2 linked regions of the Caenorhabditis elegans genome follow. The protein of the gene in region 1 interacts with the protein of each later gene in a pairwise test. Each region holds a gene or a part of one and is shown on either strand. Other genes may lie near its edges.

Region 1 (3,930 bases):
CGCAATGCAAACCACGAGCCAGCTTTGTCGTCTCATTGTAATTCTAAATTGGAAAGTTTAATTTTTGAACAATAAAACAAGTGGGGCACTCACAGTGCAGCAGACTTGGCATTTGAGAAACTCCTCGAGAAAATCACCTATCAGCGGGAATGCAGGCGACGCAGCCGAACTATCTGGAATTTTCGAATTTTGGAACCAGATCTTATAAAAACGAAAAATTACCTGTTACAGATGCCACATCCGCAGGCATTTCACTTTTTGTTGCGGACATTTATGGCTGAAAATGCTAAATTAAGTAGGTGATTTTTGGGAAAGAAAGGAGAAAAAAATTCAAAACTTCTTCCAAAACTTTCTACAGTAATCTTAAAGGCACATGAACAACCATGTTTGAATTATGATTTCGCGGCGAGACCTTTCCAAATAAATGTGGTTCCCTTGAAAGTCCTGAATTTTTGAATGAGAAAAAAAAACACTTTTGAAGAGAAACAAAAGCGAAAATAAAATAAAGGAAATCGCACAGATTTTTCAGGGGAAAACAAGAAGAGATCTTTATTTTCTCTATTAAAACATGTAAAACAATACAAAAATTTCAGGCGGAGACGGGATAAAATTGAATTATATAGTAATTTATTCTTCATTCAGAAGAGCAGAGAGCAGAAGAAATCTGTGAAGAACTCTGCCGGCTTCTTCTATGTGCGAATTCGGAAAGTCTTCAGTGGAAACTGAGCTGAGTGAAGATTCATTGTCGGAGAATTCTTTTTCGTCGTCGGAAAAGTCGAGGTTCCCGTTTTCCTGGAATTTTTTTCTTAATTTCAGCTGTTTTAGTTTAAAAAATAGCCGTCTGACAATAAATTTACATACATCTCCAAAAAGGCAGCGAAAACTTTTGTACGTCTCCTCTTCATCTGTTTCAGGCATAACCAATGTGGGATAGTAGTCATCGGAACATTCGGAGATATTATCCTGAATTAGAAAAAAGATTAACAATCGAATTCAAAGTCCTACTAACGTCATCGGAAAACGGACAAAAATGATCATTCTCATGATTCCCAAAACTGCCGGAAGTTGTGGAAACCTGCGAAATGCTGTCGTTGTCCTGCAAACATTTTTTCTAAAATATAAACTTGTCGACAGTGACACTTACATTTCCAAAAAGTCCTCGAAAACGTCGGTAGGCGGCCGCCTCCTCAATACCTGAAACCACACCTGGATCATCTAGTTCGTTTTCCTGAAAGATTTTTTCTATTCTAAATGTTTAACTCGATGAAAACTAACGTCTCCAAAAAGACGACGAAAATTGCGATAGAAACCGCCACCCAGTGTTCTGTCCGGGACAGTAGTATTTGATTCTAGAAAATCTGTTGAGTCTTCTGTAGTCTCAGAATCGCTGTCCTGAAAATTTTCAAATCAAGGGAGCATGGAAAATATCAACTAACTCTTGCTGCCAAGAACCTTAGCATAGTTCGAACTCGCTGATCCTCAGAATTCGCATCAGAATTGTCGTCAGAATCGTAATAACATTCAGAAACAGCCCCTGCCAAGGCTTCAGCCATGTTGCTGACCTCTCGCTCGGCTTCTGCTGAAAAAATTCAGTTTTTATAGAAAATACTTATACACATTTGGCTTTGCCTAGACTCCATAGCTGTGATTTGATGCGGAAAACGTCAAAATGGTGAATGAGACTGCTTTTTACTTCAACAAGCAGCTCGCGGAATTTATTATCAATCATTTCATCTCTATTCGTTTTATTTGAGCAGCAACTAGAGGAAGTTCGCGGAGCGTCAACTGGAGGACCCAGAAGCCCGAAATTCCTTGCCAATTCTGAGAAAAAACGTGGATTTCAATACTCAAAAGAGGTAAAACTTACCCATAATTGAAAAATTTGGTGCTACATTTTCGATGTTGCTTTTAGTTTCCGCACGGCAAGTAGGGCACTCTAAATGTGGGGAATTACCGTAGTTTTGCACGTTTCTGATGCATTCTGTGCAGAAAGTGTGGCCACAGTGCAAGGACCGAGCCAATTTTGTGGTTTCATTAAAAGGCTGCAAACATATTTTGTAGAAAATTGAGTAAAACTAGGAAATTAGTACCTGATAGCAGACTTGGCACTGGCAGTACCCAGCCAAGACTGTTGATAGAATTTCTGGATTTTCGGTATTTTTTTCTGAAATGAAATTTAATAAATTTTAATACAAACTCGAGATTGTCAATCTTACCGCTCATTTTCACGGAGATAAATACCTAGAAATTCTGAAACAAAAAGAAAGCTGGAATTTGCCTGGACACAAGCCTGGAAAACAAAAACAAATTTGGGGAGTCTAGCGGAGCGCGTTTACTGTAATTATTTTTGTCTTTTCAAAGTTTTTCATAAAACTAAACTGAATTGTCATTCCTTTTTTGTTTTTAAAATATAAATCAGTTTATTATAAAAAAATTACATTATTAATAATATTAATAATTATATATTGCGACACAAATTTTTCTCAAATTTAAAATTATTTCAGAAGTCAAGACGAAAAAACAAAGCTATTCATTATTCGAAACAATTTTTATTCGATTTTATGATAATATATATATTATTAAATTCCAAAAAGACTGTAAAATGTAAAACTCTCTCTAGCGTAGCATGTGACTTGTCGATTCCCATAAAAAAATAACCATTTAAACATCCGCGCAAAGAAATTCGCATTGGAGCGCACCTGCCTCACTCGTGCTTGTTTCGTTTTTTTATTCTCATTCAATTTCACAACCGTTTTTATCATTATTTTCCGGAAAATCTTAAGAGTTTCTCGTTTAGAATCTTATAAATAATGGAACGTAAAAAACACAAACGCCTAAATGATACGATTATGAAGCCGGAGGACATGAAAAAGGCGAAACTGAACCATAAACTCCCGACGACTAGTGGAGGCACTGGCGGACCGTCAACTTCTGGAGGAGTTAAAGCGAAGTTGGATTTTAGATCAAAAACTTGTATTCCACCAAAGCCAACGCTAAGTAATTCCGGTAAAAATTTTCAATTTTTCCCAGAAAACACCTAATAATTAAACAAATTTCCAGCAAATCCATCCCTACAATCCAGCCATCTCGTTCGCCCCAATCTCGATGATCAATGGAAAGATTTTGGAGATACAATCAATTTAAACATCGAAACCTTCCAGAAAAGCGTACAGGAGGCGATTTTAGCGGGCCATTTTACAAAAATCGCTAAAATGTTCGTCGCCGCGCTCAAGAGCTTCTTTGTCGGAGAAAAGTTGAAAGTGGAGCTCAGAATAATGGGAACAATTGCGGAAACCGTAAAAAATCATGGGGATAAGCTAAATGTTGGTTCAAATCTAACAAAAACTTGGAGAATAATTCTAATCATTGAAAAATTTTCAGCAAATTCCTCTCCACCGCGCTCTGCTCTTCGTAATTTGCAATTCTCGATCATATCCTGACAATATTCTCGAACTATTCATCTCAATAATCACTTCACTTGCAAGGCAACAACCAATTCTTGATAAATGTTATCTAACAGCATTTCTCCATGATTCTATTGGAATGAGCGTTGGACTCGGCACAATGAATCGATGCTCCTGGATTGAAAAAGAGTGCTCGGCAGAGCTTGTGAAAATGATTTTGGATCCGTTTGAAACTGTCTATCCATTTCCGGCAATGTATGCGCAGTGCCAGGTTGAGAATTTTGCCATTTCCGAATTTTTGAGCTTCTTCTCTGAAAAAGTGGGGAAGTCGAGGGAAAAAAGGTAATAAATTTACGATTTTTTAGAAAAAATTTCGCTTATATTTTTCCTAATTTAAACAGAAACAAAAAGCAGCATCTACAAACAACGGTGTAATACTAGCTGAAAAGCATTTAAAGTTTATCAAAATCTCAGAAGAAATTTTTATTCTGTGTTAGAAAAGTGGAAATAAAAAAAACAGTTTAAA
Region 2 (5,550 bases), on another chromosome or scaffold:
TTTTTTTCCTTCTTCAAATTGTTTACTTTTAATGAAATAATAAAGGTGGACCTCTCACCTGATTGGTCGGAAAGTGGGCGAAGCAATTCGCTGGTTGGTCGGCCAAAATTTAGCCAAAATTGAAAAAAAGGTGTTTTTTTTCTGTGGAATTTCTGAATTTTTAGGATTTTCCAAAAAAAATCCGAATTTTTTGATTTTTTAACAATTTTCAAAAAAAAACTGCTTTTTAGGCCCCGCCCACTTCTTGGAGATAGGTTATTTTGGAAAATAAATTCCAAAAAAAACACTGAAAATTTCCGAATGCCCAAGAAGTGGGCGGAGCCTAAAAATAAATTTTTTTGGATTTTTTTATTTTTCAAAAAAAAACGGCTTATTAGGCCCCGCCCACTTCCTGGAGATATCTGTTTTTCTGGAAAGGAAAAAAATTCCAAAAAAATCACTTGAAATTTCCGGATATCCAGGAAGTGGGCGGAGCCTAAAAATAAATTTTTTTGAAAATTTCCAGTAGATCTTTGTTGTTGCATTTTTCTCTATATTTTCAAATTGTGTTTGCTTTTATTAAATATATAAAATGAGACCAAAAAACATGGCAAAACAAGTGAAAAAGATCAAAATAATTATGATTTCCCGCCCGAATCATCGATCAATAACGTTCACGTCTTCTGTCATCATTGCGATGATGCCGGCTCGAGCTTCGGTCATATCCATGACGATCGTGATGACGGTGTGGCGTGGAATTCTGATGACGTCCATTGTACGGAGGAGCGGATCTATTAATTTGTTGCTGCATCATTTGATTTACAAAATGTTGATGAGGAAGCATTTGCGGAGTCGAATATTGTGGAGGACCTGGAAAATATTGATTTTTCGATTTTTTTTCCGACATTCTTGCGTTTTTCGGCTGAATTGGTTACTTTTTTCAGCGAACTTTTTTCAGCTTTTTCAATTTTATTCAATTTTTTTTAGTTATTTTAGGTACATTAAGCTTGTTCTCATGAAATTTAGGTCTAAAAATCTAGAACTTTTCAGAAACTTCTGCAAAAAAAATCGATTTTTTGGAAAAATTAACGAATTTTTCCGACATTTCTGCGTTTTTCTGCAGAAAATTTATTGGTTTTCATTGAATTTTTCTCTAATATTTGATTTTAGGAATGATTTTTCAGACTTTTTGCCGCAAAAAAAGTCCCTGAAACTCTCTAAAATTGGCCACTTTTGAGCTTCAGCAATTTTTTTTTGCGGAAAAATGTCTGAAAATTGGACAAACGATGCTCTTTTTTTCGTCTGGTGTAATTTTTTTTCCCAATTTTTGAGTTATTTTAGGCCTAATTAGGTAAATTGAGCCTGCTTTTATGCAATTTAGGGCTAAAAATCTCCAATTTTTCAGATTTTTGAACAAAAAAAAATTTTTTCTAATTAAGATTTTTTCACCGATTTCTCACTTATATTGAGGGGGTTTCGGAAAAATTATAGATTTGTTCTTCTAAAATTCCTCAAAAATTGGCTCAATTTTTTAAAAATCAAATTTTCCGGCTAATTTCCGCAAAAACCTTGCAAATTATCGATTTTTAGGGTTTCAGCATGTTTTTTTGCGGAAAAAAGGTTGAAATTTTGAATTTTTTGCAAAAAAAAATTTTTAAAAAAAAGATTTTTTTTCCATTTTTCAGTTATTTTGAGCCCGTTCTCATGTATTTCAGGCCTAAAAATCTCCAATTTTTCAGAAATTTCAACTAAAAATCGATTTTTTTGCTACCTCTTTCCCCTCCGCTTCTCCAATGTCCTCCGGATCCTCCCATCAGTGGAGGTGGCGGTGGAGGTGGAAGAGGATCATATTGTCGATGATGACGAGGAGGCTGCTGCTGCTGCCATGAGTCACGGTTGTTTCCGTTTCTGGAAAAGACAAAAAAAAAATGATTTTTCGGCCTTTTTTTGTTGATTTTCAACGTTTTTCTTCGATTTCTGAGATTTTTAATCAAAAAAAAAATGTTGTGAGACAGAAACCAAGCCAACGCCGGGTATAAAATAAAGCCGAATTTGATCTTTTTATCATCGTCTGAGTTAGAGATGAAGCTTCTTATCGTATTTTTCGCTGTAATTTCTGTGGCTGCGGGGCAGAGCGTGAGTTTTTTATAATGTTTTTTATAATTAAAGGTGGTGTTACACCACTGGTGTAGTAGAATTTTTTTTAAAAATTGCCTTATTAGGCTCAAAATTGTCTGAAAACACCGAATTTCATAATGAAACTTCTTGAAAACTTTTCAGAAAAAAGTTATGACGGCTCAAAAAATGGCCTAAAATTAGATGAAATCGGAAATTTGACCGACTTGTCAATGTCGCAGCGGCTGGAAATATTTTTTTTTTGAAATCACCGTTAAATTTTGAGTCTACGAGTTGATATTTTGCGTTTTAAACTTGATTAACAAGGAAAGTCGAAAAATTTAATGTCTGACTTTGGCATGACATAGTATTTTTTTCGATAAAAGAGTGAAAATAATGATGCCTCCAAAAAATTTAGCTGCCCGGTCCAGGTTCGGCAAAGTTATGACGTTTTGAAAGTGACTGGAACACCTTTTTACAAAATTTCAAAATTTTCAAAAAAAAAAAAAATTTTCTAAAAAGAGGAAAAAACTGTTTTAACTTATCCAAAAATGAGAAAAACATTTATCATACACGTTTTTTCTCACCACAGACCAAAAAGCACATTGCTTGATCTACATAACTTGAGGAAAATTCCAAAAAGTACATTTTTTTGCAGATTTAATTTGTGGGTTTTCTTGAGAGGTATAACCTAAAACTTGCATAGCATATGTTTTTCATTGTTTTGAATAATTTACACACATTTGCTCCTCTTTTTAGAAATTTTTTTTTGTTGAAAATTTTGAAATTTTGTAAAAAGGTGTTTTAGTCACTTCCAAAACGTCATAACTTTGCTGAACCTGAACCGGGCAGCTAAATTTTTTGGAGGCATCATTATTTTTACTCTTTTATCGAAAAATACTATGTCATGCCAAAGTCAGACATTAAATTTTTCGACTTTCCTTGTTAATCAAGTTTAAAACGCAAAATATCAACTTGTAGACTCAAAATTTAACGGTGATTTCAAAAAAATATATTTCCAGCCGCTGCGACATTGACAAGTCGATCAAATTTCCGATTTTAACGAATTTTAGGCCATTTTTTGAGCCGTCATAATTTTTTTTGGAAAAGTTTTCAAGAAGTTTCATTATAAAATTCAAAAAAAAAATCAATTTTGTTTCTTTTCAGATCATCTGGAACAATAACAATGCTAACAGATTCCCAAGTTGCTTTGGTACGATTTTTAACGCTAAAAAATCAATAAAATTCAATTTCCAGCCTGCTCCACTGCCGCCGGCTTCGTCGCCAACATTGACGGCCAGTCTACAAATGCTCGGTGCACTGACGCTGCTTCAAATCCAGCCGAACGATGCCCAGGATGTTGTGCATCCGTTGCTCTTGCCGCCGGGCTCTCCGCAGATCGCGCCTCCGGATTCCCGTCGACAAACGGAAGAAGCTGTGTTTGCTGCGTCAGATCGTGCTAATTGAGCCTTAAAATCCTTGAATTAATCCAATAAACTCTACCTATTCCTGTTCCGATCATCTCTATAGCTATCCCGTCTTCCGTCTCGATCCGGTGCCGCTACCGATCGAACTCTTTCCTCGATTTCTCCTTTTTTTCGCTTATATAATTCCTCCTGATTTGTGCCATTTCGCGGCTTTACTTGTAGTTCTTGATTGAAAAGTCGCACTCCATTCATCAATTCAATGGCGAATAGTACAGATAATTCGTCCTGAAATTTATTTTTTTTTTTAAATTTTTCAGCGAAATTGCTTACCTCAAACTCCACCAATGCGAATTTTGCATTAGAATCCCTCACATCTCTCAGAATAACTTTTACAACGGGGCCGGCTTGAATAAAAAGCTCTTCGAGCAATTCTTCATCGACTTCTTCTGAAAAATTGGCCACGTATATTGTGCGCTCTTCTGGAGGCGATGGCGTTGGTTTTATTTCCATTTTTTGCTGAAAATTCAAATTTAAATTCGAAATTTCGAAAAAAAGGCTGAAAATTCACTCATGTGAGAGAAAAAGCGAGAAAAACGAGAAAAACCAAATAAATCCCATTCCCATTCCCGGATGGCGCAAACATGTCCTCGCTGACGCGTTTCTCGATTTTGCTGGCGCATATCTCGTGCATAGAGAAAAGCCAGCACGGCACTAGAAAAGTAGAACCTAGCCGACAAAAACTGGTTGTTTTAGCAAATTTACTTAACCTTTTTCCGTTTTTTGTGAAAATTAATTGTTTCCAAAGTATATTTCAGGTACTTTTACTAGTTTTTTCCGTGTGTCGAGTGGAGAAGAGGCTCGCAGAGCTCTACAGTTCGATTTAAAGCAAAAATTAATATTTCTCCATGGAGCGAGCGGTGTATTTATTTTTAAAATTTTTATACAGCTAAACCGCTCAATTCCTGAGAATTAGCTTTGTTTGAAACCAAACTTAAATTGACTTAAAAATCCATATTTCTACCTCAAAAAATAAATCGAATCCGTCTCAAGAGCCCTTTAGCCACCCTTTAGCCCCCTTCTTCCTCAGAAAAATGTCCGCTTTTTTTTAATTCAAAAGAAAAAAGGTTATTTCTTCCTCATTTTTCTCCTGTATGACGAATTTACCTGCTTTTCAGATCGTCAGAGCGCCCAAATGAGTCATTATTTATTTGTTTTACTAACTATTTCATAGCAGTTTCAAAAAAACTAGAAAGTTCTTTTCAGGTTCAGGCTATGAGGAACAATATTTTTCTAGATTGATAAATAAATATTTCTCCGTTGTTCCGCAATTTTTATCGAGAAAAAACAAGATCAGGCGCCCCCTCGTGGGGTTTTTTTTCTGAAAAGTGCAATTTCCTGCCTCTCTTTTGCTAGACGATTCATTAAAAACCCACAAATGATGATGATAAGACATCAAATTTTGATTTCTTTGGCATTTTTTACAAAGATTTTTGATTTTTTTTAAACGCTAATCGTAATTTCGTACTTTATTTAGTGTGTTTAAACCATAAATTGTTAGAAATCTTGTCTCAAACACATATGTGCTCATGAGCATGCTCACAAATACTTTTTGATGACAAAAACAATTATTTTCACTGATAACATGTAATAAAACATAAAATGAACATAAAACATGATTTTTAATGCAAAAAACCCCTTTTTTCGAAGAATTTTGATTAAATTTGATATTCCACTACTTTTCCCCAGCTCTTTCACTTTCCGCCTTTTCTGGGTCTCCCCCGTCGTCTCCCATATCTCTTCTTCCCCGTTCGTTCTCCCATTTTCTTGGCTAATTGCCAAGAAATTGGAACAACGCCACATCTGTCTCGCGCGCCACTGCAACTTTTTCCTCACGAGGGACGAGGAAAAGTGGTTTCTAGGCCATGGCCGAGGGGCCGACAAGTTTCAGCGGCCATTTATCTTGCTTTGTTTTCCGCCTGTTTTCTTTTGTTTTTCATCGATTTTTTTCGTTTTTTCTTATTAAAACTGA

The links. Proteins that work in one complex are often made in the same cells at the same time.
Region 2: the proteins of rnf-1 (region 1) and rbm-7 interact in a two-hybrid assay, tested with the Caenorhabditis elegans proteins (one large-scale study listed by BioGRID).

What each region holds. Positions count from the first base shown.
Region 1 is NC_003279.8:6,009,248-6,013,177, forward strand, and holds rnf-1 (RING-type domain-containing protein), read right to left. Parts: upstream 2,340-3,930; 5' UTR 2,224-2,339; coding exon 2,217-2,223; intron 2,165-2,216; coding exon 2,091-2,164; intron 2,043-2,090; coding exon 1,868-2,042; intron 1,822-1,867; coding exon 1,630-1,821; intron 1,580-1,629; coding exon 1,437-1,579; intron 1,393-1,436; coding exon 1,276-1,392; intron 1,229-1,275; coding exon 1,145-1,228; intron 1,097-1,144; coding exon 1,010-1,096; intron 964-1,009; coding exon 862-963; intron 793-861; coding exon 628-792; 3' UTR 535-627; downstream 1-534. Other genes in the region: C06A5.8 (RING-type domain-containing protein), read right to left, coding at 1-43, 94-173, 223-271; ints-1 (Integrator complex subunit 1 RPB2-binding domain-containing protein), read left to right, coding at 2,811-3,006, 3,061-3,323, 3,382-3,746.
Region 2 is NC_003281.10:12,927,831-12,933,380, forward strand, and holds rbm-7 (RRM domain-containing protein), read right to left. Parts: upstream 4,038-5,550; 5' UTR 4,032-4,037; coding exon 3,852-4,031; intron 3,807-3,851; coding exon 3,598-3,806; exon of another isoform or gene 3,558-3,597; coding exon of another isoform or gene 3,352-3,557; intron 3,308-3,351; coding exon of another isoform or gene 3,262-3,307; intron 2,116-3,261; coding exon of another isoform or gene 2,062-2,115; exon of another isoform or gene 2,043-2,061; intron 1,888-2,042; coding exon 1,751-1,887; intron 850-1,750; coding exon 644-849; 3' UTR 540-643; downstream 1-539. Other genes in the region: Y37D8A.19 (uncharacterized protein), read left to right, coding at 2,062-2,115, 3,262-3,307, 3,352-3,557.